7 linked regions of the Oryctolagus cuniculus genome follow. The protein of the gene in region 5 interacts with the protein of the main gene of each other region in a pairwise test. Links are inferred from orthologs where the notes say so. Each region holds a gene or a part of one and is shown on either strand. Other genes may lie near its edges.

What was found.
Region 1: the proteins of ATXN1 (region 5) and GCA interact in binary tests that used the Homo sapiens proteins (3 or more experiments, as listed by UniProt). The link is inferred for Oryctolagus cuniculus from reciprocal best matches to the Homo sapiens genes ATXN1 and GCA.
Region 2: the proteins of ATXN1 (region 5) and SYBU interact in binary tests that used the Homo sapiens proteins (3 or more experiments, as listed by UniProt). The link is inferred for Oryctolagus cuniculus from reciprocal best matches to the Homo sapiens genes ATXN1 and SYBU.
Region 3: the proteins of ATXN1 (region 5) and UBQLN4 interact in binary tests that used the Homo sapiens proteins (3 or more experiments, as listed by UniProt). The link is inferred for Oryctolagus cuniculus from reciprocal best matches to the Homo sapiens genes ATXN1 and UBQLN4.
Region 4: the proteins of ATXN1 (region 5) and HIVEP1 interact in binary tests that used the Homo sapiens proteins (3 or more experiments, as listed by UniProt). The link is inferred for Oryctolagus cuniculus from reciprocal best matches to the Homo sapiens genes ATXN1 and HIVEP1.
Region 6: the proteins of ATXN1 (region 5) and USP54 interact in binary tests that used the Homo sapiens proteins (3 or more experiments, as listed by UniProt). The link is inferred for Oryctolagus cuniculus from reciprocal best matches to the Homo sapiens genes ATXN1 and USP54.
Region 7: the proteins of ATXN1 (region 5) and ZNF276 interact in binary tests that used the Homo sapiens proteins (3 or more experiments, as listed by UniProt). The link is inferred for Oryctolagus cuniculus from reciprocal best matches to the Homo sapiens genes ATXN1 and ZNF276.

Annotation. Positions count from the first base shown.
Region 1 is NC_091434.1:79,323,349-79,327,381, reverse strand, and holds the start of GCA (grancalcin), read left to right. Parts: upstream 1-1,233; 5' UTR 1,234-1,434; coding exon 1,435-1,461; intron 1,462-4,033. UniProt on the Homo sapiens protein: Calcium-binding protein that may play a role in the adhesion of neutrophils to fibronectin. May play a role in the formation of focal adhesions.
Region 2 is NC_091437.1:135,118,794-135,122,978, reverse strand, and holds the start of SYBU (syntabulin), read left to right. Parts: upstream 1-1,385; 5' UTR 1,386-1,860; coding exon of another isoform or gene 1,861-1,885; intron 1,886-4,185. UniProt on the Homo sapiens protein: Part of a kinesin motor-adapter complex that is critical for the anterograde axonal transport of active zone components and contributes to activity-dependent presynaptic assembly during neuronal development.
Region 3 is NC_091438.1:42,651,368-42,654,867, forward strand, and holds part of UBQLN4 (ubiquilin-4), read left to right. Parts: coding exon 1-58; intron 59-180; coding exon 181-296; intron 297-470; coding exon 471-657; intron 658-2,594; coding exon 2,595-2,747; 3' UTR 2,748-3,500. UniProt on the Homo sapiens protein: Regulator of protein degradation that mediates the proteasomal targeting of misfolded, mislocalized or accumulated proteins.
Region 4 is NC_091436.1:158,574,841-158,579,134, reverse strand, and holds the start of HIVEP1 (zinc finger protein 40), read left to right. Parts: upstream 1-1,494; 5' UTR 1,495-1,627; intron 1,628-4,045; exon of another isoform or gene 4,046-4,134; intron 4,135-4,156; exon of another isoform or gene 4,157-4,294.
Region 5 is NC_091436.1:143,623,897-143,627,396, reverse strand, and holds part of ATXN1 (ataxin-1), read left to right. Parts: intron 1-1,835; 5' UTR 1,836-1,995; coding exon 1,996-3,500. UniProt on the Homo sapiens protein: Chromatin-binding factor that repress Notch signaling in the absence of Notch intracellular domain by acting as a CBF1 corepressor. Binds to the HEY promoter and might assist, along with NCOR2, RBPJ-mediated repression. Binds RNA in vitro.
Region 6 is NC_091446.1:64,751,690-64,755,722, reverse strand, and holds the start of USP54 (ubiquitin carboxyl-terminal hydrolase 54), read left to right. Parts: upstream 1-1,233; 5' UTR 1,234-1,370; exon of another isoform or gene 1,371-1,379; intron 1,380-1,405; exon of another isoform or gene 1,406-1,510; intron 1,511-4,033.
Region 7 is NC_091449.1:69,341,124-69,344,623, forward strand, and holds part of ZNF276 (zinc finger protein 276), read left to right. Parts: intron 1-352; coding exon 353-463; intron 464-531; coding exon 532-607; intron 608-895; coding exon 896-1,013; intron 1,014-1,300; exon of another isoform or gene 1,301-2,664; coding exon 2,665-3,035; 3' UTR 3,036-3,407; coding exon of another isoform or gene 3,408-3,500. UniProt on the Homo sapiens protein: May be involved in transcriptional regulation.

The sequences.
Region 1 (4,033 bases), on a different chromosome or scaffold from region 5:
TTCCAATACCTTATTATTTGCTGCCTCAGTTAGTCACTCATATTCAAGGAGATCCTCCTACCAAGTTTAGTTTTGCTACCCTCTCTCCATTTAGTTATTAAAGTCAATCACTTAACTCTTTTGGGCTAACATATTTCTAACTGTGTTAGAGGAACTAACACTTTCTCAAGAGTGGCTTGTACATTAGCAACCCTCCTTTCCTCTGCCTCTTCCTGAGTCTTTCACAAGGCCCAACATATTCCTCTTCTGTTTTGTAGTGGGGAAATAGTTACATAGCTCTGTAAGCTTGATTTCCTCTTCCAGTAGTTAACACTTCCTTGCAGTATATTTTAGTGAAACATGTTAACCCTTGTGTTATTCTTCAGAGATTATTTTAAGCGGTGTCCTGATCTTTTTATTGTTTTTAAGCTGAAGCTACATTGTCCTGTCCTTTTAAAACCAGAGCTACAAAATTTGAGTTCTAGAGAAAAAGAAGACTTGCCCATTTCCATTACTTGGTAAAACAAAGTAATTGTGCATTTTACTTTTCCCCAGATGATAGACATAAAGCTGTCCGTCTCTTAGATATAATTAGGACATGTGTCTTAAGAGTTCTATCAAAGGTTGTTACCAGTAGTCACCAACTAATACACAAGATACCCTGTATATTAGCAGCACAAAAATAGGAAATAATTTTTCATTGTAAGTTTAGGTGCTGTAAAATATCAGAGATGTATTTATTCTAAAAAATCATTTGAAAACCAAATTGACCTCAGACTACAGATAATCTTTTCTTAAACCTAGGCATTAAGTGGGTTTTAGTGAAGAAGCAACTGTCCTTGGTGTACAAGTATGATCATGGTTTCAAAGTGTTGATATCACATTAACACTACCCAAAAGTAATCGCAAGTTACTTGACACGTTTTGAGATTCACAGATGTATATTTAAAGTTTAGCTCAAAAAAGCCGGGAAAAAAAACGCTCGGAAATAGATTAAAAGATTTCATCCACGAACTGATTCTGGGTTTGTAAAGAGAAAAGACACTTCAGGAGCCTATGGCTTGGACAACATTCCCAGAGGGCTTGCAGGGTTACAGGGTGGAAAAGGCTGTTTGGGGATTAAGAGGAGAGGGCAAGAACTCGAGCGAATCAATAGGAGCAGAGCAAAGGTGGGCTGTGCTGGACGGGCGGGATGTAGCCAATCAGGGATTAGGAGGGTGGGATTAGCCTCCGGGAAGGGGCGGGCTCCATCAAGTGTGAGTTCCGAAAGGCGGGACGTGGCCAATCGGAACCGGGCAGGACGGGGCTGAACGCCGGGAGGGGCGGGCCTGGAAGGAGTGAACCGCGCGGCCGGTGCTGCTCTGAGTCACCTGCGCCTGCACCTGTATCTGCACCTGTACCTTTCTTTCAGGAGGGCGGACGCTGACAGGAGGGCTGAAGGTTGCTCGGCTCGTCATGGCCTACCCAGGATACGGAGGAGGGGTGAGTCCTGGCCACTAAGCCTCCGTCTCCGCCCTCGCGGGACGGGGTGCCCCTGCGGGCGGTGCCCACCTGCCAAGTCCGCCCTCGGCCCCTGCTCCCTTCTACCGCGTCTGGTACTCGGCGGTGCCGGGACTCTGCGCGGTGATGGAACTCGCCCTCCGGGCCGAGCCCGCGGACAGACATCGAGCCCTTGGTGCTCCGAGAGGCGTCCTTGTGGAATCGAGCGTGTGATTTGTTTTTAGAAATTTCTTCCCTGAAACTGAAGAGCTACGCACCCTTTTCTTCTTCCAGTAATCTTTTGTGGTCCCACCCCCACCTCAGCGTTTTGCAAGAGATCCTGTTTGTGAATGTTTCCGGGACTTCTTGTTCCTTAAGTTGCCTGTGAATACAGTTAAGATGCACTCTAAATGTCTCCTTTACTCCTACACCAAGGGAAATCTGTTTTTCTAGAGAAAAACATCACCTTTGAGACTTAGAAGTTGGAATCGTATCCTGGAATCCAAACTTTCAGTATTTGATCTTAAAAGTGAGGTGTGGGTTAAAGATAATGTATTTTCTATTTTTTTCTGTTTCTTCTAAAAAGAAAAGAATTGTGCTTTACTGATTTTAATATAGGAGTTGACATTAACAGTGCTTGGGTCCCTTCCGCCCACTGGGGGACCTGGGTTGAGTTCTAGACTTCAGGCTTCCGCTGACCCAGTTCTAGATGTTGCAGGCATTTGGGAAGTGAATCAGTAGATGGGAACGCTTTCTCCCGCTCGCTCGCTCGCTCTCCCTCCATCTCCTCTCGCTCTCACTCTTCCACAATTTCTCCCGCAAATAAATCACACAGATTGAACTGTTCATGGAAGAAATAGAATTAAAAAATAAATTTAAAAAGTGAAAAGAAAATTCAAGTTTGTAAATGTTGTGAAAGAATCTTTTCATGTCTTTCTAAAATTCATAGTAGCAGATATCAGATCATTATAGTGTGTAGATAAAAAAAATACTTTCCAAGGAGTAATGTAAAGCTTTATTTGTGTATTTCAATAATCATAATATGTTAGGCATTGCATCCTTTGCATCTAAACTTACAATGAAGACCTTATATTTCAACATAAAATATGGGGGTATACTACTATGGAAGGGGAAGCCAAAACATTTAAAGAGTATTGGTGATGGTAAGGAACACTAAGAGAATTATATAATATTTTCCTTTGTACTCATTACTTAGAATGAAAGTGTTACTCAGATATGCAAAGCATTGGCGGGCGCCATGGCTCACTTCACTAATCCTCCGCCTGCGGCGCCGGCACCCGGGGATTCTAGAGCTGGTTGGCGCGTCGGGTACTAGTCCCAGTTGCTCCTCTTCCAGTTCAGCTCTCTGCTGTGGCCCGGAAAGGGAAGGCAGTGGAGGATGGCCCAAGTGCTTGGGCCCTGCACCCTCATGGGAAACCAGGAGGAAGCACCCGGCTCCTGGCTTTGGATCGGTGCAGTGCCGGCCCTAACGGCCATTAGGGGAGTGAACCAATGGAAGGAAGACCTTTCTCTCTGTTTCTCTCTCACTGTCTATAACTTTGTCTCTCTCTCTCACTGTCCAAAAATGCAAAAAATTAGAAAAATAGGTAAAAAAGAACGCTGATGGTGTCCTGATGGCTGTTTAACTTCTCACCTGTTTCAGTCTATTATGACTTATTACAGCTTATATGTGCAGAATTCTCCAAGATTATTTGATTTTAACTGAAGTAATCCTCACAAATGGACAAGCAGTTTGAAAAGTTCTGAGAAGAAAACTAAGGACTGAAAATGACAATTCAAAAGCTGGCATTGTGGCACATTGGGTGATGCCTCAGCCTGTGACTCCAGCATCCCGTATCACACTTGTTCCAGTTCTGGCTGCCCCACTTCCCATGCACCTCCCTGCTGACGTTCCTGGGAAAGCAGCAGAATATGGTCCAAATTCTTGGGTCCCTGCTACTTTCATACAAAATTCAGTCGGAGTTCTAGGCTCCTGGCTTCTGTCTGGCACAGCCCCAGCCATTGAGACCATTTGGGAAGGTAACCAGTGGATGGAAGATCTCTTTCCTTCTCTATCTTTCTCTCTCTCTCTCTGTGTCACTTTGTCTTTAAAGTAAATAAATAAATATTTAAAAAAATGCAAAACAACGTGAAAATGTCATAGTTGCCACTTTATCCCAACTTTTTCTTCAGTCACATGACTAAGTAATAATAATGATGATCTAATGATCAGTTTTAACTCATTAAAAATTATCAGGAAGACAACTTGAAGCATGCAATTATATAAACTAATTTTAAGGATTACCTTATTAGCCACAAATCCTAGTTTTTCTCCACATGGGCCCTTCCGTGTGGCTCTTCATGGGATGGTAGGTGTGTCCTAAAGAGAAATAGGAGATGCCCGTCTTCTTAAAATCTTCAGACTGGAATCAACATGATGCTCTTTCTACTATATTCTATCTGAAACAAGCAGCTTTGCTTCCAGGAAGTGGAGAAATTGTTTCTGCTTACCACCGTCTTAAGCTGACCCGCAAGCCCTAAAATTACTGGTTTCAGGAAAATTAATGCTGCAAAT
Region 2 (4,185 bases), on a different chromosome or scaffold from region 5:
TTGGTGTCTGAACCTCAAGTAGAAAAAGGCAATGATCAGATAAAATGGCTGGGAAAACAATGCAGAATGTGTAATGCATTTAACATGTGGCAAGCAATGTAGGCAAATGGCATTGGTGGGCCTCAGTTGTAGAAACTTGCACTTCACAGTGCAATTCACATATCCGTGAATGTTAAGTATCTTGAGCTTTAAACCACTGTCTGCTATTAGTTGAGTATGGTGAAAAGGGGAGGCAGGAAAAGGAGAAGGCACAGGGGTAAAGACAAGGATGCTGCTCTCTGGAGCAGTCCTCTGTATGGACCAGCCCTTTTCAGAGGGAAAATTGAAGATTAAGGGTACACAAATAACATAACAAGAAACTACCTGGATGAACGTTTAGCCAAACTCTGGTGGCTGCTCTTTGACCCTTAGCCAATTTCATCATGAAGCACTTCAGTGAAAAAAAAAAAAAATCAATGATCCTGATGGAGCTACTTGGGACTTTAGCAATTCTAAGGGAAGAAAGCATCTTTGCACCAGTCTCCTCCAAAATTTACCTTCCCCCAAGAGTAGGAGGTTGATGATTTGTTTTGCATTTGGACTAACAAACCACAACATAATTTTCCTGAGCTTTTCTTCAGCCTTATCTATAATCAATACAAATTACGTTTAATAAGCAGTTGTATTTTGTTGGCCCAATCTCTACTACCCTTTTTTTTTTCTTTATTTGAAAGAGTTACACAGAGAGAAGGAGAGGCAGAGAGAGAGGTTTTCCATCAGCTGGTTCACTCTCCAATTGGCCACAATGGCCGGAGCTGCCAGTGGAAAGCCAGGAGCTTCTTCCAGGTCTCCCACGTGGATGCAGGGGCCCAAGGACTTGGGCCATCTTCTACGGCTACTCCCAGGCCATAGCAGAGAGCTGGATCGGAAGTGGAGCAGCTGGATCTCGAACCGGCACCCATATGGGATGCCAGCACTGCAGGCCACGGCTTTACCCATTATACCACAGCGCCCGCCAGGTTATCTCTGGGTCAAAGCTCACGTCACTCAGAGACACCTTGTTTAGATTTGGCGCCCACGGTCCTTGGTGAAGTTGGAAATCGATCGGGGCTGTAGATCCGTGTCCTCGCCGAGACAGGATGACCCCAGATCGGATGTGGTCCCCGGAGACATTTTCCTAGGGAGGAACTGTTCTAAAAGGACGTCTGAGCAGCGCGCTGCGGTTTTCAGTGCTTGTCATCTGCAGCGCGGAAACAGTGTCCTCGTTAAGTGGGCTGAGCGAAGCCCGCGAGGAGGGCGGGCGACTGGCGCCCGAGCCCGCACCGCCCCGAGGGACGCGCACTGGGTCGTGAGAGCACACAGACCCTTCCGCCCTTAGCTGGGGCTCCCTCAACCGGCGGGAACCGGGAGCCTCTGCAGTGCGCCACCCCGCACCCGGCGCTTCAGCAAACGGAGCCTGCAGAGCTCTCTGCCCCGGCCCTGGCGACAAGGACCGTGCCTTCAGGCCTCGATCCCCGGGAACGCGACCCTGGCGCCCCTGGCACGCGGCCCTCACAGCGCCCCGGGCGCTGCGCTCCACCTCCCGGTGCTGGCCCTTTGGTCCCCCGCCCTTCTCCCCACTTCGTCTGCAGCCCCGGCCTCCGCAGCCCGGCTGCCTGCCGAGGCCAAGGAGCCGCGCGGACAGAGGCGCACCGGCAGCCGCGGCACCACGTGTCCAAGCCGGGCTGGCGCGGCCGGAGCGAGCCGGGCCCGGCTCCGACTCCCCGAACCTGAGCGAAAACCAGCAGCTACGCGGGGTGCCGCCCGCGCCCGCGCCCGCGCGCGGCCTAGCCGGGCCCCGGCCTCCCGGGCGCACGTGGGTGCCTCCACCTGGACGGCGCGATGCGGCCCTTCTGGCAGAGAAAGGGTAAGAGGGGCGTCCGCGTGCGAGCACAGGAGGGCGACTGTACGTCTTCGGTCCAATGACGGCGGAGATGGGGCGCTAGGACCCCGGCACCGCCCCTTCCAGCAAGGAAGCTATCCAGGGTGCTGCTCCTGGACTCACGGGAGGTCGCGGGAACTGGGGTGTCCAGGGGTCTCAGCGGAAGGAGGCCCAGGGCATCGCGTTCCAGCAGTGTGGCTGGAACTGAGTGGCCAGGCTGGACTCATGGCGACAAGCTGGGTTGGCCGTGCCATGGTATTGGCCGTCGGTTTTGGGTCTCCCTGAACTGGTTGCCCTCGGCCGTGGGCTTGGAAATGGTGCATTTTGATTAGGAAGAATCAGCAAAGAATTGACGGTCTACAAAAAGCTTTGGTGGATCTGTGTAAGATGATATCCCCTAATGTGTGTGTGTGTGTGTGTGTGTGTGTAAGTAAAAGGGTTAAGTGGAGAAAGGGCCCATTTTTCGTAGAGTTATTGTTGAAGGGCACAGCAGATGAGCTCCAAACAGCCTCATGGTAGGTGGTATCAATAGGTTTCAACTTAAAATAGGAGTGAATTGCAGAGCGGAAGAGATTTGTCAGCTGAAATTGGTGCGTGGGAAGAGATTCTTAAAGCTTTAAATGGAAGAATTCACCTAGGGAAAGCAGCTCTCCTGGTGTTTTATCTTCTCCGGTGTGGAACAGGTATCGCCTGACAAGGAAAGCAGAAAACTGTACTGTGAGATTCTCGCAGCGGCTTCTCTCTGGTCTTGACTCCAGGCGCAGGGCTGGGTAGCAACGGGCAGCTGCAGCCTCTGAGTCTCGCTTCTCAGACAAGGGCCCGATTTGAACCCCACAGCCTACAGTCTTCAGCTTTGATCCTTGCTTCTTCCTCCTCGAAGGGTGCGATGGGGGCCAGAGGAGTCCAGGGTTCTCTATGCCAAGTTTTTACGCTTGTACATTTGAGAGAACAGCAGCACCCCTCCCCTTAAAAGATGAATTCACACGAAATCGTGTTTTTTAATTTGCTTCAGATTTCAAAGCAGCAATACAGTATCGTAGTGCAGCTTTTGGTTACTTAGTTTGACAATATTATTTTAATGCAAAATATTTGAAAATATTATTTAATGCAAAATTTAAAGACGCTGTTCAATCCAAGATGATCTCCATTACACTTAAGCCATATTTTACTAACTAGATTTGCAGTTAACAGTCTTTAAGTGATATCAGAATTGAAAGTAAATAATCAGATATTTACTCAATATCTTAATATTAAATATATATAAATATATAAATGTAATATCTTAAATGCAGGTGCCCTAAAAAAGTAGGTTTGAAGCTTAATTTTTACACTGAACTACTGAGGGTGGCAGGGAGCAAGTGATTTGTTCAACAGCATGAATAAGTGCCAGGGGCAAACTTAGAACCAGATATCTCCTAATACCCAGTCATGTGGTCTTACTTTTTTCTTTTCATATTTTAGCAAAAATATTAACACATATATGCAAAATAATTATTTTACAAACCAGGCATTGGTGGGCCTGGACACAGGGTGAGAAGAGTGTATCTATAAAGGGCAGCATAAGAGAGATCTTCATAATAACTATAGTTATTATATAGTATGTATATATAGTATAGTACATATATATAGTATGTATATCTTGTTTGTGGTGGTGGTTACACAGATCTACACAGGCGATGGAAAGTCATGGAACTATGTGCACCGATGTCAATTTCCTGGTTTTGATATTATGCTATAATTATGTAGGCTATAACCATTGGGAGAAGCAGGCAGAATGTACATAGGACCCCCGTGTATTACCTTGGCAATTTCTTGTATGTCTGTAATTACTGCAAAAAAAAAAAAAAAAACTTTCTCTAATGTCATTAGCTGCTTGTCTAACTGTGAATGTACATATAATACCTCATTTACTCTATATGCTGTCTTAAGTGTTTAATAGATACTTAAAATATAGTGATGCAAACTAATACCTGCAATATCTTTATTGATATTTAAAGTACTATTATTCATGCTGGGATATCAGTATAGCCTGGAGGTATTATATCACAAATAAGCGGTAGGCACTATTTCAATTTATTTATTTAAAATTTTGGAAAACAGGAGAAAGTGTTTCCTTTAAATAGTCATTGTGCTGAGATATCAGCTTGGAGTCTTCCTTTCTTTCTTCTTTCCCTCCCTCCTTCCCTTTCTTTCTCCCTCCCTCCCTCCCTCCCTCCCTCCCTCCTTCCTTCCTTCTTTTCTGCCATGAAAATCCTTAGGGCTTCAGCCTACAGTTGGGCTCACAG
Region 3 (3,500 bases), on a different chromosome or scaffold from region 5:
GGGGAACCCCCAGCTGCAGGAGCAGCTCCGCCTGCAGCTGCCCGTCTTCCTGCAGCAGGTGAGCGAGCGCCTGCAGGGGTGGAGGTGGAGGGCAAGGGGTGGCGCCTGAAGGTAGGGGCAGAGCTTGGCTTCAGGCTGCCACCTCCTCTCCTTCGCCTTTCTCTGCTTGCGTCCCACCAGATGCAGAACCCGGAGTCGCTGTCCATCCTCACCAACCCCCGCGCCATGCAGGCCTTGCTGCAGATCCAGCAGGGGCTGCAGACCTTGCAGACCGAGGCCCCCGGGCTGGTACCCAGGTGAGGCAGGGGGCAGGCAAGCAGCGGGGCCGGCTCCTCCTCCCCTGCAGCCGCCCTCTCTGCCGCTCGCGCAGCCTCCGTGTCCCGAGGCTCTGCTTTGCTGTCCCCTCCACCTGCGTTTCCTCCTGGCTCTCGTGAACGCCACCTCCCATTCTTGGGCCCTCCTGCCTGCAGCCTTGGCTCCTTCGGGATGTCCCGGACGGCAGCACCTGCCGCGGGCAGCAACGCCGGGACCGCGCCTGAGGCCCCCACCTCCTCGCCTGCCCCGCCGGCCACGTCTTCTCCAACGGGGGCTTCCAGTGCCCAGCAGCAGCTCATGCAGCAGATGATCCAGCTCTTGGCAGGAAGTGGAAACTCACAGGTGCACAGGGGCCGTGGGGGTTGGTGCAGGCGTTGAGTGGTGTGGGGGTGGGCAGCAGGGCAGCTTTGGGGTCAGCCAGACCTGCCGTTAGGTCCTGCTCTGCTGCATACTAGCCCAGGCTGGGGATGGATCCTCTGTGTGTCCACGGCGGGCCGAGGGAGGGGACGGGAACAGCACCTCCCACAGGTGGGTACAGCAGGGGCTCACTGTCATCTTCCTCACGACAACCCGGGGGAGGCTGCTGTTTTTCTGTTACTGTCTGCTCGCCAGTGCGGAGGACAGAGGCCCCGGGGGTTGCGTGTCTTGCTCATTTCCATAGCTAGTAGGCCAGGGAGCCAAGACACACCCAGGCCTTGTAGCTCCGGAATCCACACCGTGGCCACCGTGTCACCGCGGCTCCTGCTGTCAGAGGACTCAGGCAGCCTGCCCCTCTGAGACTGCAGAGAAGGCTGCTGGGAGGTGGGCTGGCGGGAGCCCTGAGCCACAAACTTGAGGCCAGGGGCTTGTACCAGGAGGAAGAGTGACGACCTTGGTGGGCCTCCCCGCTCTCCGCTGGCCTCCATGTCTCATCTGTGTGTAGCCGGCTCTGTGGGAGGCAGGGCGAGGCCCGATCCCGGGTGAGTTCCGAGGACAGCAGTGAGACGCCATGTGCAGCGGCTGGCAGAGGCTTTTGTCGGCAGTCAGGGGGCCGTGGCAGCTGAGCGCTGTGACCGGGGCGAGTCCTTCCTCTCCCTAGGTGACAACTGACTTATCTACCCCGGTGGACTGTGACTGCTCCTGCTGGCTCTCAGAGGCTTTTTTATTTTTTTTTTTAAGATTGATTTATTTATTTGAAAGTTATATAGAGAGAGATCTCGCACATGCTGGTTCACTCCCCAAATGGCTGCAACAGTCGGGACTGGGCCAGGCTGAAGCCAGGAGCCAGGAACTGAACTCCATTCGGGTCCTCCACGTGGGTGGCAGGGGCCCAGGGTCTTCGGCCATGTTCTGCTGCTTTCCACGGCTCATTAGCAGGGAGCTGGATCGGAAGCAGAGCAGCCGGGACTTGAACCAGGGCACATGAGGGATGCCAGCATTGCAAGTGGTGGCTTAATCCCCTGTGCCACAACACCAGCCCCTCGTGGTGTCTTTTGTTCATGATCTAAGCGAGTGCTTCCAAAAAACATTTCCAGGAGGTACCCATCGGTGTGTCAAAAATGGAAAACCTTCCCTTATGTAAGTCCCTGTGCTCACTGATCAGCTAAACACAATGAAGCAGCTTTTACTTTCCTCGGCCTCAACCGTGACCATGGCCGCGTCCCCGAAGGGTTATTTTAGCATGCGTCTTGTTTGAGCCCAGAGCATTTGGCTTTGGGAACGCCGGCTGACATCTCCCGAGTGTCCATGGGGAACAGTTAGGAAAATGAGCTGGTGCAGGCCTATCAGTTAACTTTGAAAAAAAAATTTTTTTCTAAGATTTATTTTATTTATTTGGAAGGCAGACTGACAGGGAGAGACAGAGAGGGAAAGAGATCTTCCACTCACTCACTGGTTTGCTCTCTAAATGACCACAACAGCCGGAGTTGGGCCAGGCTGAAGCCAGGAGCCTGGAACTCCATGTGGGTCTCCCATGTGGATGGCTGGGGCCCAGGTACTCGGACCGTCCTCCACTGCTTTCCCAGGAGCATTAGCAGGGAACCAGATGGGCAGCAGAGCAGCCAGGACTCAGCACCGGCCCGCTGTGTGGGATGCCCGCGTCACAGGCGGCGGCTTCCCCGTGAGCTGTCAAGGCCCTTCCCCACGTTGTTATTCCCGTTCTGCTGCCTTGGGACCTGGACTCCTCCACTCCCACCCCACCCCGCGCCCCTGGCTGACTCAGAGGACTTAGAGACCTGCTGGTCTTAAAGACCCTTTGGGGCTGGTCCTGTGCCCCCTTCACAAGGCCCTGTCTCCTCCAGGTACAGACGCCAGAGGTGAGGTTTCAGCAGCAACTGGAGCAGCTCAACTCCATGGGCTTCATCAACCGGGAAGCCAACCTGCAGGCGCTGATCGCCACCGGAGGGGACATCAACGCGGCCATCGAGAGGCTCCTGGGGTCCCAGCTCTCCTAATCCCCCAGCCCTGCCTCCACGCCGGCGTCCGGGTCTCTGTCCTCCCCGCCCCCTGCAGCTTGTCCCCTCTTCTTCTCCCCTGTCCTCTGCAGACAGCAGGGCGACTTTGGAGGCAGGGGCCCCAACCCCGTAGCTCTGTCTCCACCTCCAGCAGAGCCGTTGAGAGCGTCTCCCAGTGGGGCCGATCGGCCCTACCTCTTACCCCACACCGACTTCTGTGGCCTGCCACCTTCTCCAGAGGCGCGGAGGCGAGGAGGACCCGACCCCCTGGTGCACGGGAACAGTCTTCCATCAGTCCCTCTGGGGTCTGCCTTGTCTCACGTTCACTCGCTCTCTTCCCCCCCGCTCCGCCCCGCCTCTCCCAGCCAGTGCTAGAATCTCCCTCTGAAGGCGAGAGCCGGCCAGCTGGGCCGTGACTCTCCTCCTCCACCCCATCCCAGTCACTTCCTCACCCGGCACTTTCATGGGCTCCACTGGGCCTCCAGGGAGGCGAGGAGCATGCCTGGTCTCCCTGTCTGAAGGGGGAGACCAGATGGAGCCCTCTTGGACCAGACAGTCCAAGCCCTCCCAAGCTCTGCAGCGGTCCCTTAGAGACTGGCGGAGCAGGGGATGAGGGCTTTGGTTTTTGGAGGAAGGGAATGGGCACCGCCTGTGGAGGGCTGCAAGCTGGAATGCGCGTGGAGGAGGAGACGCAGTGAGAGCGGTGGCTAGGAGGTCAGGCCTGCGCCTGGCAGGAAGGCAGGGGAGGTGCTG
Region 4 (4,294 bases), about 15 Mb from region 5:
CTGGGTAAGCGCTAATCACCGCCCGTTGCCACTGTCACCGTTACTGCTAACACAACTCTACTACGGCTTTGGAGCCAGCTCCCACAGCTATCTGAATTCATGAGCGACAATGACTTTCCTTAAAAAGACCATTCTCAGTCCAGATGTCTCCAAATGCCTACCAACTGTTTGCACCAGGATGCCTTCATGCCTTCCAAATGATGGGGGACTGGGGGCTCTTCTCTGGTTGTCTGTGGCTGCCTGTTGTGCCTTCGTGGCTCCTGGCCGGACAGCCCACCGTCCCTGTCAGCCTGGGCCAGCCCAGGTGTACAAGGACATCTCCGGTTTCTGCATAGCTTTTCCGTAGCTTCCTTTTCACTCTCAGAAGCACCGTGGTTTGAGCGTCACTTGTTTCACTTGGACTTTCTGCTCTAGGCAGTAAACCCATCACCCGCAGTTCCCTTGCTCTGACCTTCCAGCTCTGCCCCAGGAATGCTGTCCTCAGATCATTGCCAAAACCCGAACTTTCTCTCCTCCCAAATCCTACTGGGAACTCAGCCTCAGGAGGGAACTTCCTCTGATAATCCTGCCCTCCACCCAAGAACCCTTTCAGCAACCATGTAAATAACCCTGTATAACTTTAATTGGCTCTGTTTATAAGCTGCTTCTTGTATCTTTTCCCCCCCTCTAGGTATTTTTCCATGTGTTAATCCTGTCTCTATTAATTTGTAAACTCCCAGAGGGCAAGGCCTGAACCCAGGCTGGTGTTGGCATCAACTGGATAGACGGGTACAGCTGAACTGAAGACAGGGCCATCCCTCTTGGCTACTAACCTGCTTTTTTTAATATTTATTTTTTTAAGCAGCCTTTGTTAGCAATTTGTCAGTGTTGGTCCTCAGACTGCTAACCCAGCGCAAAAATACAACCAGTTTCTATTAAGGTCCAAACAGGATCAAACCCACAGTCCCAAGGTCTCCACACTGTTAGAGGGAGGGTGTGCGACTCATTCTAACCCACCTGGGGGTCTCAGCGTGTCGGTGTGCAGCTCACTCGTCCCTTCTTCTAGGCTGCTCTGAGACGGGACTAACGCTCACTTTCAACACCGAGATCTGAAAGCCGAACAAAGCCCTCGGAAGCAGGCACCACCACCATATTCTAAGTTTGTGGTGTGAGTGAGGCGGGGCGGAGGTTGGGGAAGATGACTTTAAGCTCATTTTTCAGTCCTAACACATGGCACAGGGGCCCGCTCCTCAGGGCCAGGAGCTGGGCGGAGAGTCCACTTGCAGCGCAGGTAACAAAGGCGAGCCGGGCGGATGCGGCCGGGTCCCCGCGGCGGCAGGGGCTCGCGCCTCGGGCCACCTGCTCTCCGCGCGCGGGGCGCGGGCGGGCTGCGCGCTCGGCTCCCGGAGCCGAGCCCCAGGTAGAAACCCGCGTAGGCGGTGCGCGCGATAAGATCAAAGCCCCGGGCCCGGGCCGGCGAGCGAGCGGGGGCCGGGGCCGGCGAGCTGGCGGGCGAGGCGCCTCCCCCGAGCGCTTCCTCTCACGCCCACTTCCAGCCGAGGGGAGGCTTCGGGTGTCTGCTTTTGTTGTTTTTAAAAAATTAAAAGTTGAAGCCTCGGAGGAAAGACTTTGGCTGTGGCCGTTGTGGGTAAGTTCTGGTCCCTGTTCTTTTGTCTGGCGCCGAGCTTGGCAGGAGCCCGGGCGTGGCGGGGGGCAGAGCGGGCAGCGCGTGTGGGGATGGTTTCTGTCGCCAGGTCGCCCAGGGGAGGGGGGGGGAGGAGGGAGGGGAGGAGCAGGGGGGAAGGAGGAAGAGGGGAGGAGGGGGAGGAGCAGGAGGGGAGGAGGAGGAGGGGAGGAGGAGAGGAGGGGGAGGAGGAGGGGAGGAGGGGAGGAGGGGAGGAGGAGGAAGCAGGGAGAGGAGGAGGGAGAGGAGAAGAGAGGAGGAGGGAGAGGAGGAGGAAGCAGGGAGAGGAGGAGGAGGGAGAGGAGAAGAGAGGAGCAGGGAGAGAAGGAGGAGGGGAGGAGAGGGGAGGAGGGAGAGGAGGAGAAAGGAGGAGGGAGAGGAGGAGAAGGGGAGGAGGGAGAGGAGGGGAGGGGACTCGGCCGCCGGACGGGGAAGCCCAGCGCGCGCCCCGGCTGCAGGGCGCAGGGCCGAGGGGAGGGCCGGGCGGCGTGACCCGGCGGCGGCCGGCGGGGAGGAACCTCCGGGATCTCCGCGTGGCGGCGGCGGCGGCGGCGGCGGGCGGGCGCTCGGGGCCGCGCGCTGGGCGGAGGGCCGGGGCCGCGGGGCCGCGCCAGGGGGGAGCCCGAGAGGAGCCCGGGCCGGCCGCCGCGTGGGAACCCAGGCCGCGGGGCGGGCGCGGACGTGCTGCCCACCGACTGCCCTCCGCAGTCCCCTCACCCCAGCGGGGGCGGGTAGGGGTGGAGCTTTGGGAGCCCCGAGCGGTCCCTGGCCACCTGCATTTGTTCCCCGGGTTTTGACAGTTCGGACGGCAGTCGCCCATTCACTTGTCCACTGCGGTTCCAATGACGTCTTCTCCACATTCCGCTTGTTTTGGGAGGCTCCACTGCTTTGCCAGGAAGTCCATGCAAGCTACTTTATAACCTAGCTGGGCAGTTTTTCTTTCCTGATACTTACGGATGGAGAGTTGTAGAATTAAGAAAATAAATTGCATTTAGAAAATTAGAAGACGTCCTAGGAGGCTGTTCAGTGGTGTGTGTGCATTGCAAAGCCAACTTGAACGTCGGCTTGCTGCCCAGGAGAACGAATTGAGAAGGCGAAATTAACCTCTGATAATTCGAAGTTGTACGTGTGGGTTGCTAAGAAGTTCAGGGCAGTGCTCAGTCTCTAATAAACACGGTGCTGACGCTGGATATCTGTGTGGTGCTGGGCAAGGCTGGATCGGTTTGCGTTTTTAACCTCCCAGATTACCAGCTCGCCTCTCTATCCGGATTCTCCACCCCGACTGCCAGGCTGCACTTTCTCATTTGAGAGCATGGTTGTTTTTGGATTCAAACCGCCCAGGTGGGAAGTTGCCCTCGTCTGCTATCGCATGGAAAATTAAAACTGCATATTTCACTGTAGGCTCAGAGCATCTAGAGGTCATTGAAAACGGACTCATGTGGACGATCCTCGCTCCTACCAGCAAGTCTACTTTTTTTAGCAAGCACATTTCTCCTTTTCCGTAACATTCTTTGTGGCTACAAGATCGCCCATTACTGAGTATTCCATTTTTAATCACCCCCACTCCGGCGCTCCGAGCTTTCCTTAGGATTTCCCTGGTCAGCCTCTGCAGGAAGGAACCTAGACACCTTTGTGGAAGCCCAGGGGCGCGCAGATGGCCCGGCTGTTTTAGTGGCTGTATGGCCGTCAGCGTTTTTTAATTCCTTAAAAGGGGAAAACAGTTTGGTTATTACTTTTTTTTTTTTAAGCATCCAGTTTTCTGCTTTACCACCATTGCTGCTAAGTTCAGGGCGGCTGGCTAAGCCACTTTTGCCTGCTTCTTTGGGTGTAGCATGGGGTCTCTGAGCCCCAGACTCCTAGCATTCTTTGGGTCTGAACCCCGAAAACCGGCTTCGCTAGCCGCCTCTCGCAGAGGTCCCCCACGGCGCTCCAGCAGCCGGGGTCCCCAGCGCTGGTTCCTCGGAAGGGCTCCTCGCTGCCCTCCCTGGAGCTGCGCGCGCGGCTTTCCGGCCCCCAAGGTCCGCGCCCCCAGCCCGCACGGGCCGGGAGGGGTTAATCGCGCTCGCAGCGCCGGCCCCGGGAAGCACCCGCGGGCCCGGGAGCGGCCTGTGGAATAACCTTGGCTTTCCTCTCTCTTTTAATAGAACATCCGCCACCCCGGCGCGGTTTCGGTTCAGGGTTAAGCGCACGCCGCCTTTCCACCCTCTACACCGGCTCCCCGCCCCCTCCCGCTCTGTGTGTTTTTTTTCCTCTTAAAGTTGTTTTTCAAAGTTAATGAGTTTCGAGTTTCACAATGATTTTCCCCAACCCTCCACGCGTTGCTGAGGAAACCCCCTTGGGGTCCCCCCCCCCCCGCCTCCCCATCTCCCGGGCCTCCCCCTCCCCCAGTCGGCCCGGGCGAGGGGCGGGGCTGGGAGACCCCATGACGTCACCGGGCCGGCCCACATCCTGCTTCCGAAAGTAGAGAGACGGTAAAGAGAAACTACGGCCCCGCCCGGCCCCGCCCCCCTTCCCGGACCAACCGCCCCCCGACCGACCGCGCGCCCCGGCCCCCGCCCGCGCCCGTCCCCCCGGCGGCGGCGCGACCCCGGCTCCCGCCCCTCCCCCGCGGGCCCCCCTCCGGTCCCTGCG
Region 5 (3,500 bases):
GGCTCCAACTGGGCCAGACCAAAGCCAGGAGTCAGGAGCTTGTCTGGGTCACCCACATGGGTACAAGGGCCCAAGCATCTGGGCCATCTTCCACTGCTTTCCCAGGTACATTAGCAGGGACTGGATTGGACGTGGAGCAGCCAGGACTCAAACCAGCGCCCATATGGGATGCCATTACTTCAGGCACCAGCTTAACCCACTGCACCACAGCACCAGGCCTGAGACACACAATTTTTAGCCCTCATCTTCCTTCATGCATGGTCAGATTCATTAAGGCTGGGGAATCCTCTGTCATGTCATTTGTCATCTGTTGTGTCACTTGTCATTTGTTGTATCATTTCTTGGTGATACCCATTGATGACGGTGAAGCAAAATGAAAAAGAGTCAGTCAATCATTGACTGCCCCCAAAATGTCACCGATTAGGAAGAGGCAGTGTAAGCCTTATAGGAGGTACTTGGTTTTGGTGGTGCAAGAAGGGGTAGCAGAGGCGGAGAAGGGGGTGTGGCAGCAGGGATCTCACCATTGCGTCAGCGTAGACCGGGGTTGAATGCTGACGGATGCTGCATGTTTGTGTTTGTTTTAAAATCAGATCATAGAAAAGAGGGTCAGAGTGAGAGAACTGCCAGAACCAGGGGCCTGAGGTCTCCGATCCTATCCCAGAGCTCCCAGTATTACCACACAGGGCAGCACTGTGCTGCTGGGGCGGGGGGAACGCTCACTTCTGTGGCATGTTCAGTGGTCCCGTGTTGGCTCTGCTAACATTCCGTCTCGTGCCGGGTGGGCACCGGGTCACCTACCATTGGGATGACTTAGAGCTCAGAGGCCACTGAGAACCTGAGGCAAATGTCCCAGCGGTATGGGCTCCACCGTGTGCCCAGGTTTGCACACCCAGGTGTGATTCTTCTACAAGAAGTGCCGTCTTTAGCATCGGCGGCGAGTTGGCCTTTTGCAGGGAGAAAGGAGATGATGTGCAGAGAAAATACAGAGACAGCTTAGAAGGGAAGCAGGCAGGAGACAGGGACAAAGCAGGCGTGTAACCCTCAGGAAACTTGGAACGCGTCAGGCTTGTTATTGTTCTTGGCTTTTTAAACTGCAATCAAAAGTGCTTTGTAACCGTCTCACAGATTTCTTTTGGCGTTCTGTTGGCATCTGAGTGGCTATACTGGGCATTTTTAAAAACTTCTCGAGAGCAGAATTATTCTGGGCTGCCTCTCTTGAGTTGTGGTGTGTGTGTGTGTGTGTGTGTGTGTGTGTCTGTGTGTGTTAGGCAAGAGGGAATTACTGCTGAGTCCAGTGTGGACCGAGAGCCAGGTAGAACCCTCCAGGATTGTGGCTCTGGGACGTAACACCCAGGGACTGCGCGGGACGGCCCTGTGCAAGCCGCTCCTCCCTGGAGCCTGGCTCTTGAGGGCAGGGTCCAGCAGAGTCTCCCTGATGTCATTCTCCCTTGTGGGCTTCCAGCCAAGGGAAGAAGAGGTGAGGCCCGGAGCTGACGTTTCTGGAAGGGAAATTTGAGAAACGCATCATCTACCTTCTAAGAAGAAGGGGGAAAACCCCGAGAGGAGGAGAGAGAGGGTACTGAGAGTGTCGCAGGAGAGCTGACTCCATGCCAGAGTTTGTGCCGTGAGGCTACCCCTTGCTCATGTCCCCCCTCCCATTCCCTGTAATGCGAGGGCCATAATTGGGTTTTTGGAATTCATATTGAATCCCGAGGCTTAATCTTAATCTTGCTGAGAATGTTTTGTCCCAGTGCTGATATTTTGATGTCCTTTTCTTCCTTCCTCCCCTCCTCCTCTCCCCCACCCTTCTCACTCTTCCCTCGTCCTCTGCCCAGAATCCAGAGCTGCCGCTGGCCGAGTGCACCCACGGGGAGATGATTCCTCATGAAGAACCTGGATCCCCTACAGAAATCAAATGTGACTTTCCGTTTATCAGACTAAAATCCGAGCCAGCCAGCCAGTGAAGCAGTCACCGTGGAGGGAGGGCGGCGAAAGATGAAATCCACGCAGGAGCGGAGCAATGAATGCCTGCCTCCCAAGAAACGCGAGATCCCGGCCACCAGCCGGCCGTCCGAGGAGAAGGCTGCGGCGCCGCCCAGTGACAACCACAGGGCGGAGGCCGTGGCCTGGCTCCCTGGCAACCCTGGCGGCCGAGGCCACGGGGGCGGGAGGCACGGGCCGGCAGGGACCTCGGTGGAGCTCGGTTTACAGCAGGGAATAGGTTTACACAAAGCATTGTCCACTGGGCTGGACTACTCCCCACCCAGTGCTCCCAGGTCGGTCCCAGCGGCCACCACGCTGCCCGCGGCGTACCCTCCCCCGCAGTCAGGGACGCCCGTGTCCCCCGTGCAGTACGCTCACCTGCCACACACCTTCCAGTTCATCAGCTCCTCCCAGTACAGCGGCCCTTACGCCGGCTTCATCCCGTCACAGCTGATCTCCCCCACAGCCAACTCCGTCACCAGTGTGGTGGCCTCCGCGGCGGGCGCCACCGCCCCATCCCAGCGCTCCCAGCTGGAGGCCTACTCCACTCTGCTGTCCAACATGGGAGGGCTGAGCCAGGCCCCCCCGGGACACAAGGTTGAGCATCAGCAGCACCTGGGCAGGGCACCGGGGCTCGTCACCCCGGGGTCCCCGCCGCCCACCCAGCAGAACCAGTACGTCCACATTTCCAGTTCTCCGCAGAGCACCGGGCGCCCGGCCTCTCCTCCGCCCATCCCCGTCCACCTCCACCCCCATCCGACGATGATCCCACACACGCTCACCCTGGGGCCCTCCTCCCAGGTCGTCGTGCAATACACGGACTCCGGCAGCCACTTTGTCCCTCGGGAGTCCACCAAGAAGGCCGAGGGCGGCAGGCTGCAGCCGTCCATCCAGTCCAAGGAGGTCCTCAACGGGGAGATGGAGAAGAGCCGGCGGTACGGGGTTCCGTCCTCGGCCGACCTGGGCCTGGGCAAAGCCGGGGGCAAGGCGGTCGCTCACCCCTACGAGTCCAGGCACGTGGTGGTCCACCCCAGCCCCGCGGACTACAGCAGCCGAGATGCCCCAGGGGTGCGGGCCTCTGTGATGGCTCTGCCCAACAGCAGCACGCCCGCCACAGACCTGGAAGTGCAGCAGGCCACGCACCGCGAGGCTTCGCCCTCCACCCTCAACGACAAAGGCAACCTGCACCTGGGGAGGCCAGGCCACCGCTCCTACGCCCTATCACCCCACACGGTCATTCAGACCACGCCCAGTGCTTCAGAGCCCCTCCCGGTCGGACTGCCCGCCACGGCCTTCTACGCAGGGACGCAGCCCCCAGTTATCGGCTACCTGAGCGGCCAGCAGCAAGCAATCACCTACGCCGGCAGCCTGCCGCAGCACCTGGTGATCCCCGGCACCCAGCCCCTGCTCATCCCGGTCGGCAGCACCGACATGGAGGCGTCGGGCGCAGCCTCTGCCATCGTCACCTCGTCGCCCCAGTTTGCTACAGTGCCCCCTCACACCTTCGTCACTACTGC
Region 6 (4,033 bases), on a different chromosome or scaffold from region 5:
ATGTTGTTTTACAACAGATCATCTTTCAGTATTACTTGAGTAGCTTCTGTGGCATTTGAGTTAGCAACTTCAAGGGTTTCTTTTATATAAACTGCACACCCATAATACCATTATCCAAAGTCACTGAGATTGATCATTTATTAGAGTCCTAGTCTGTGATGTTCAGTATGGTAGTCACTAGCCACAGGTGACTGACTATTGGACTCTTGAAACTTAACAGTCTGAACTGAGATGTGCCACATGAATAAAAAAGTACCACATTTTTGAAAATTCAGTATTTAAAAAAAGTTATTATTAGTAACAAAACTGATTACATGTTGAAGTGATATGTTGAACATGTTGGATGAAAAAAAAACTACTAAAAATCTGTTAAAAATGTGGTGACTATAGCTTTTAAATTGTATGAGGGTCACAACATGTTTCCACCGACGATACTAGTCTAAACCACCCTATTAAAGTTATTTAGGGACTTCAACAAATGAAAATGAATTCTCTATTTATTAATTTCTGCCCCATTTGTTCCTTTTCCTTATTACCCAAAGTTCTTTTCATGCATCTTCCGGTTCAGATGCTGCTCAGTTAGTCTGCATTTACAGAGATGGCTCTTCTACTGAGTGTTGAGTCAGTTGAAGGAACGATGTGTCCACAGGATGGCAAGCAACAATCGCAAAGGTCAGATCACACAGCAGTGCGGTTTCCCTCCGCGTCCCAGGCGACAGGATGCGACACACCTGTGCCAACGTTCGATTGGAGGGAAGGGGTGCTAGGGTAACACATTTCCTATTTTGGTCCGGCGATCTATTAGGGCGGGGCACTCACGGAGCAACATTTCTGAGAAGCCTTCTACAGACCACGGTGGAGAAAGAACACATGAAAACTTTTTGAAGACAGTTAATGAGATGGGAAGGTCAATTTCTGGCCTGCCCGCTCCCTCTCAAACTCCTCTACATGCGTTAAGAAAACGCCGAGAAAACAAATTTCAGCTACAGGAGGCTACGTTTGCGGCAGTTTAAGAAAGCTGTATCCCCAAAGTTATCCCAGAGTAGGGCCTGCCATATTCACTTTCCTCAGCCTGGACATACTGTCCCAGCTACACTAGTTCTACGACTTTCGGTCATTCAAGCTTCGCCCTCGCCCGCGCCCCACCTCCAAACCCTTCAAGCCACCCCCGAAACGCCTTGCAGCCGCCATTTTAAACAGTACTATCGCGAGATATACTTAGCTGTCTCCAGCCTGACTCATTTACTTTCTTGCGAGAGTCTCTTCTCGGCTGTTCTCGCTGTAGTTGAGGAAAGTGTCGCGAGAGCTGGTTGCCTTGGCTCCCTGTAGCTATAGCAGCCGCGGCGGTTAAGGATGCGGCGGCGGGAGCGGTGAGTGCGACACCCTCAGGGGGGCGGGGTCGGAGGTAACGGGGTACTGGCGGAGAGCTCCCGGGGACGGTGTGGGGAAGGTCGGGTCGCTGGGGAGTGGACCGGAGTGTGACGTGCGGGGAAGGACCCAGGTCCCGTAGGTAAAGGGACCGGGCGCCGGTCTGCTCTGGGGCGTGCGGGGAGGGCTGGAGCTTCTGAGAGGTCCAGGGGAGGGACCCGGGTGTAGTGGGATTCGAGGGGAGTGGGGCCGCATCGGGGAGGGGTGTATGTGTTGGGAGCAGGAGGTTTCCTGGGACTTGGAACTAGATAAAAGGACCCTGCTACGTTGGGGAAGAAGTGGGAAGAAACGGGGTACAGCGAGGAGGAGGATGTGTTGACTGAATGGGAGCACAGAGGTTGGGCCCAGTTTGTTTTTCGCTGGTTGGGGAGCTCGAGGGGAGGAGAGAGGATCAGACCCTTGCAGCTCCCCAGGTTCCGCTGCGCGCCAGGACCTGTATCCTCAATGGCGTGGCGGGAATGGTGGCGTCCCGAACCCTCCTCGCTTCCCTTCCTTCCCTCATTCCAAAAGAGATACCCCTATGGTCGCTCTGGCAGAGGGGAGAGTCCCGGGGAACTAGTGTTAGTTGGGAAGGTTCTTTGGGCAGAGATACCGAGAGTGGGCTCATGAATGATTGCTGCTGTAAAATAAAGCGGGGGTGGGGGCGGGAGAACAATTCTTGAGGGGGAAAAAAGAAAAAACCAAACCAAAACACTAAGGTGTGCTTCCTCTAAAGTGTGCTGAATTGGAAGAAGGGGGTGTGTGCTAAGATCGCGGTTCTTCCCGGATTCATTCAAGTGCGGAACTCCTTTACAGTGTACTTAGGGAATTATGTATGCAGTGTAAAAATCAGTTTAGATAATGTAGTGAAATAATGTGCAGTATGACACTTAAATCCTCCACCAACGTAACTGAAAAACCAAGAAAAGTGTTTCTACTGCAGCAGCAGGCTCAACCCTAAAACGAGAAATAGTTTTGGTTACTCGGATATAAAACCTCGGTTTCCCAAAGTGTGCCTTTTCGGGTTATTTGCCTTTTAAGAAATCAGAGGTTTTATTTTAGGAGACAGAGCAAGTTTTGAATGTCAATTTTTTGTGAAAATAAAATGAGTCCCAGGAATTGAAATCATTGGAAGAGGAAAACATGTGGTCTCTTAGCTTCAAAGACTGTTTTCTGGGGATGGGTTTGGAACACTTTACTGGTTAACTCTTATTTCTAGTGGAAACTAAGGCTTTAAGTCAGGCACAAAATAATTTTTTCATTTCCATTTATAAATTCAAGCTTTCTGACCATTGGTTTCTCTATCATTTATTTGTAGGTAAATTTGCAAGGGATAACCCCTCTTTTGATTATGTAACTGGGTTTTTCCATGGTGAGGTTCACAAATTCATTAATTAGAATAATGGCTTTTAAATCCTTCTTTAGCTTGCTTAGATGTGGTTAGTTATTGAACTCATTTATTTGATATGTGTTAAAGTAAAACTTTTAATTTGTAATGTTAGTAGCCAAGCTTTAAAGTAGAGTTGATTTTCTGAGGCAAGATAAAGCTTTGCTTAGCGGTTGGATTAAAAAAATTTCTGCATAAAGCCAACAACAAGCTTTAAACTGAATTTCTACTATGTATAGAGTACTATGTGAGGCATTTCACAGAAAAAAATAGATTTATTAATTCACTTATCCATCCAACAAACATTTACTGAGGTTTACTTTGTGTTTGAAATACAAATATTGGTAAAACTTGATCTCTTCATTGGAATTGCAGACTGTAGGAGGGGAGACTGATAGGAAAACAAATTATTACAATGTGTTAAGTACATCGTTTAACTCTGCGGTATGAAACAGGGTTCGGGCTCTGAGGAATTACATAGTAGTTAGGAAGAAAGAGCCGGCGCCGTGGCTCAATAGGCTAATCCTCCACCTTGCGGCGCCGGCACACCGGGTTCTAGTCCCGGTTGGGGCGCCGGATTCTGTCCCGGTTGCCCCTCTTCCAGGCCAGCTCTCTGCTATGGCCAGGGAGTGCAGTGGAGGATGGCCCAGGTGCTTGGGCCCTGCACCCCATGGGAGACCAGGAAAAAGCACCTGGCTCCTGGCTCCTGCCAGGATCAGCGCGGTGCGCCGGCTGCAGCGGCGGCCATTGGAGGGTGAACCAGCGGCAAAGGAAGACCTTTCTCTCTCTGTCTCTCTCTCTCACTGTCCATTCTGCCTGTCAAAAAAAAAAAAAAAAAACAAAAACAAAAAAACAAAAACAGGAAGAAAGAATTTTAAAACTTGCAAATTATTAAGCAACTTCTAAGCTGTGTTGCATTAATAAAACACTTAGTTTCTTAGAAATGATAAAAGAAGTTTTTAAGGAGAAAATTCACTAGACAGTTATAATTATTTATTTTTTATAATTATTTATTTATTTATGTTTTAAATATTTATTTACTTGAAAGAGTTACAGAGAGAGAGAGAGAGAGAGAGAGAGAGATTCTTCCATCTGCTGGTTCACTCCCTAGCTGGCTGAATGAGCTGGAGCTGTGCCAATACAAAGCCAGGAGCCAGGAGCTTCTTTCAGGTCTCCCACGTGGGTGCAGGGACCCAAGGACTTGGGCCATCCTCCACTGCTTTCCCAGGCCATAGCAGA
Region 7 (3,500 bases), on a different chromosome or scaffold from region 5:
TGCTCAGCTGTTTCCTCACGCACGGTCATTGTAAAGGGACTGACCCCCAAAGCTTCCCTGGGTCACCGTGTTCCAGGTCTCCGGCCAGCACCCCCTTCCCCCGTGCAAGTGTGTTCCTCTCTACTGCACTCCGCTCCTCCGCCTTTGGGGTACATTCTCCCCCACCTTCCCAGGGGCTGGGCCAGGCCTTCAACTTCCCACCGAGAGCTGGTATGGCTTGGTGGCTCTAGCTGGAGTCAGGGCCCCTCAGTTAGGGAAGCTTAGGGAAACCCTGTCCCTTGTTCTTAAACAAGGACGAGAAATGTTTGCGAGTAGACCCTGGACACATCACTCATCTGGTCTTTGTTGTCAGGGTCTCTGGTAAGAAGAGTGAAAGCAAAGAAGCCAAGAAGACCGAAGAACCAAAAATCCGCAAGAAACCCGGGCCCAAGCCCGGCTGGAAGAAGCAGCTGCGCTCTGAGAGGTGAGGGGTCCTCAGCGGGGGCTGCCCTGCCTGTGGCAGCAGCGCCGCCACACGAGCTGTCCTTGCAGGGAGGAGCTGCCCACCATCTACAAGTGTCCTTACCAGGGCTGCACAGCCGTGTACCGAGGGGCTGACGGCATGAAGGTGAGGCGCGGGCACCCGGTGTTGGTGAGCCTGGGCTCCTGCTGAGCCAGGCGTGGCCTTGGGCCCAGGACTCGCGGGAGCCTGGGCTGAGGGAGGCGTGCGGCCTGGGACGGGGTGACTTAGAGCCAGCTCTTCACTCCGGAGGGGCTCGGCGGTGTGGAGCCGGTGCACCTGCATCTGCCCGCCTTCCAGGGTGCTCAGCCCTCGCCTGTGAGGACACTGGGGGGCCTGTGGGGCGTGGGGCTTCGGCCAGGGAGGCACTCGGGTCTCTCGCTGGCCCCTTTACAGAAGCACATTAAGGAACACCACGAGGAGGTCCGAGAGCGGCCCTGCCCCCACCCCGGCTGCAACAAAGTTTTCATGATCGACCGCTACCTGCAGCGCCACGTGAAGCTCATCCACACAGGTACCTGCTCCGATGCTGCCCTAGAAGCACCCGAGTGGGGGGGGGGCGCCTGGGGGGACTTGGGAGCCTTCCAGGAGTCTCAGGTGCCCACTCAGGTGGGGGCTGCAGTCTGAAAGACAAACCCACCAGTCCTGCCTGAGGTATGGTCTCTAGGTTCAAAGTCATGAAAACTGACAGCACAGGAAACTCTAGTGCACTTCTGGGAGTTGATCAGATACATTGTAGAACCCTTTTCAGATTAGAAAATAGCTCATGTTCATTATAGAAACTGAAAAATGAGAAACGCCTAAGATGGTGAAAGTTTATTTGGAAGGCAGAGTGTGAAAGACAGACCTTTGTTTCGTCTGCTGGTCACCAGGCTGGGCCTGGAACTCCACCTGTGGGCACAGGGACCCAGTACTTGAGCAGCAGCACCTGCTGTCTCCCAGGGTGGAGGCAGGAGGTGAGCCAGGCACGCCGACGTGGATGCAGGCGCCCACCGGAGCCCGCGTGACTTAGCTGTGTGGTTCCTGCATCGTAGACGTGCTGTGTGACACAGGCACTGCTGCTGTCCGTGCCGTCCGTGAGGCCAGCAGTCCTGGGCCGCGCTCCGGCCCGCTAACCGAGGGCCCACTGCAGCTATTCTGCCGCCCAGCCAACATGGAGTTGACAGCTGACCCCAGAGTCGTCTTCATCAGCTCTCACGCATCCCAGTGAACGGCTTTCCTGTTCTGCTCTGAGTGTTCTCACGCGGGTCTCCCGATGCAGTCGTGTTTTGGGCTATGTTCTTCCAGCCGTGCGTCTCAGTCCAGTTCCGGCGGTCACACCTGCTCTCTAGTGCCCGAGACACTGTAGATCCAGGTCTTGGAAGGAGTCTGGGGAGCTGCTGTAGGTATTGCACAGACGTGCGGGCGGCACACTGCGGTGGGGCGTGTGTGCCCCGCGTGGAACTGGCTTGTTTCCACAAGTTGATGGAGCCATTTATACGCCCCGTCCGCACTGGTTGGACAGGTCATCACAGCCTGTGCCCCCAGTTACAGACAGTCTCCCCTGCCCCTGTGCTGTCCACATCCATGTAACATGGAGACGTCTAGAGCTGGGATGCCTCCTCCGTGAAGCCTCTCCTGACTGCCTGTCTCTAGGCTTCGGAGCTCATGAAGGGGTCTTGAAACTGAGCTTGAGGGGGTGGCATTGTGCACCAGGTCAGGTTGTCACCGGGACAGCCACGTCCCACATCCGAGGGGCAGCTGGGCAGGAGTCCTGGCCGTTGTTTCCGATCCAGCCCCCGGTAATGTGCCTGGGACCCCCAGGATGGAGTTTGTGGTCTAGCCACAGCTGCTGGGGCTGTCTGGGTGAAGCAGATGGGAGGCCCCTCCCTCTGCCTGCCCAGTCACCAGGGGTGGGGACGGGCCGAGTCCCGCCTGTGCTGCCGCAGCACCTTGGGAGAGCGCGGGCGCCCGCATCAGACACCTGGGAGGAGATCCGGGCTGTTGCATTTTAACTGTTCAGACGTCTGGAATGTACAAGGGAAGGCTGGACATAGGCAGTATTTTCGAGCAGTTTGGAAGTCTGTTAGAACAGGCCCTCTCTCCGGGCTGCAGAGGCCCTTGCCTGGGCCCGGCTGCTCTCGGTCCTGGCGCCAGCCCCGGTCCTCCGCCCGCCTGTCTTGCAGAGGTGCGCAACTACATCTGTGACGAGTGCGGGCAGACCTTCAAGCAGCGCAAGCACCTCCTGGTACACCAGATGCGCCACTCGGGAGCCAAGCCCCTGCAGTGCGAGGTCTGTGGCTTCCAGTGCAGGCAGCGGGCGTCGCTCAAGTACCACATGACCAAACACAAGGCAGAGACTGAGCTGGACTTCGCCTGCGACCAGTGCGGCCGGCGCTTCGAGAAGGCCCACAACCTCAACGTGCACATGTCCATGGTACATCCTCTGACCCAGACCCAGGACAAGGCCCTGCCCCTGGAGGCAGAGCCACCACCCGGGCCACCACACCCCTCTGGGACCACGGAAGGCCAGGCCGTGAAGCCTGAGCCCACCTGAGGACCGACGTGGGCCGCAGGGCCTGTGAGCAGCCTGAAGGCAGCAGGGGTACGGGGGACTGCACACAGCACCCCAGGGTGCAGGACGCCCGCTCCCTGGGAACCCATGCTATCTATACCCCCCACCTCCGCTCCGCGTGTGGGCGTGGGGCCTGTGGGGCCTGTGGGGCTGTGGGGCTGTGCAGAGCTCTCGCAGCCCTTCTGCCCTCTGCTGTGGGCCAGTGGTTTGTTGTCATCCCACACTGTAGCGGCTTGGGCGCCAGACTATAAACCATTGCCCCTTTTCTCCACTAAAGCGATTCAGGAGATTTGTAATCCACTTCCCAGTGCGACACGTGCGACGCAAGCTCCGCCCTAGGCTGGGACAAACTATTCACAAGGTGCCGGGTCCAGTCAGAACAGCTGGGGCTCGCGGTAGAGGCTGGGGTCTGCCACGGTCAGCGGCTGCCTGCCCAGAAGGGCGGTG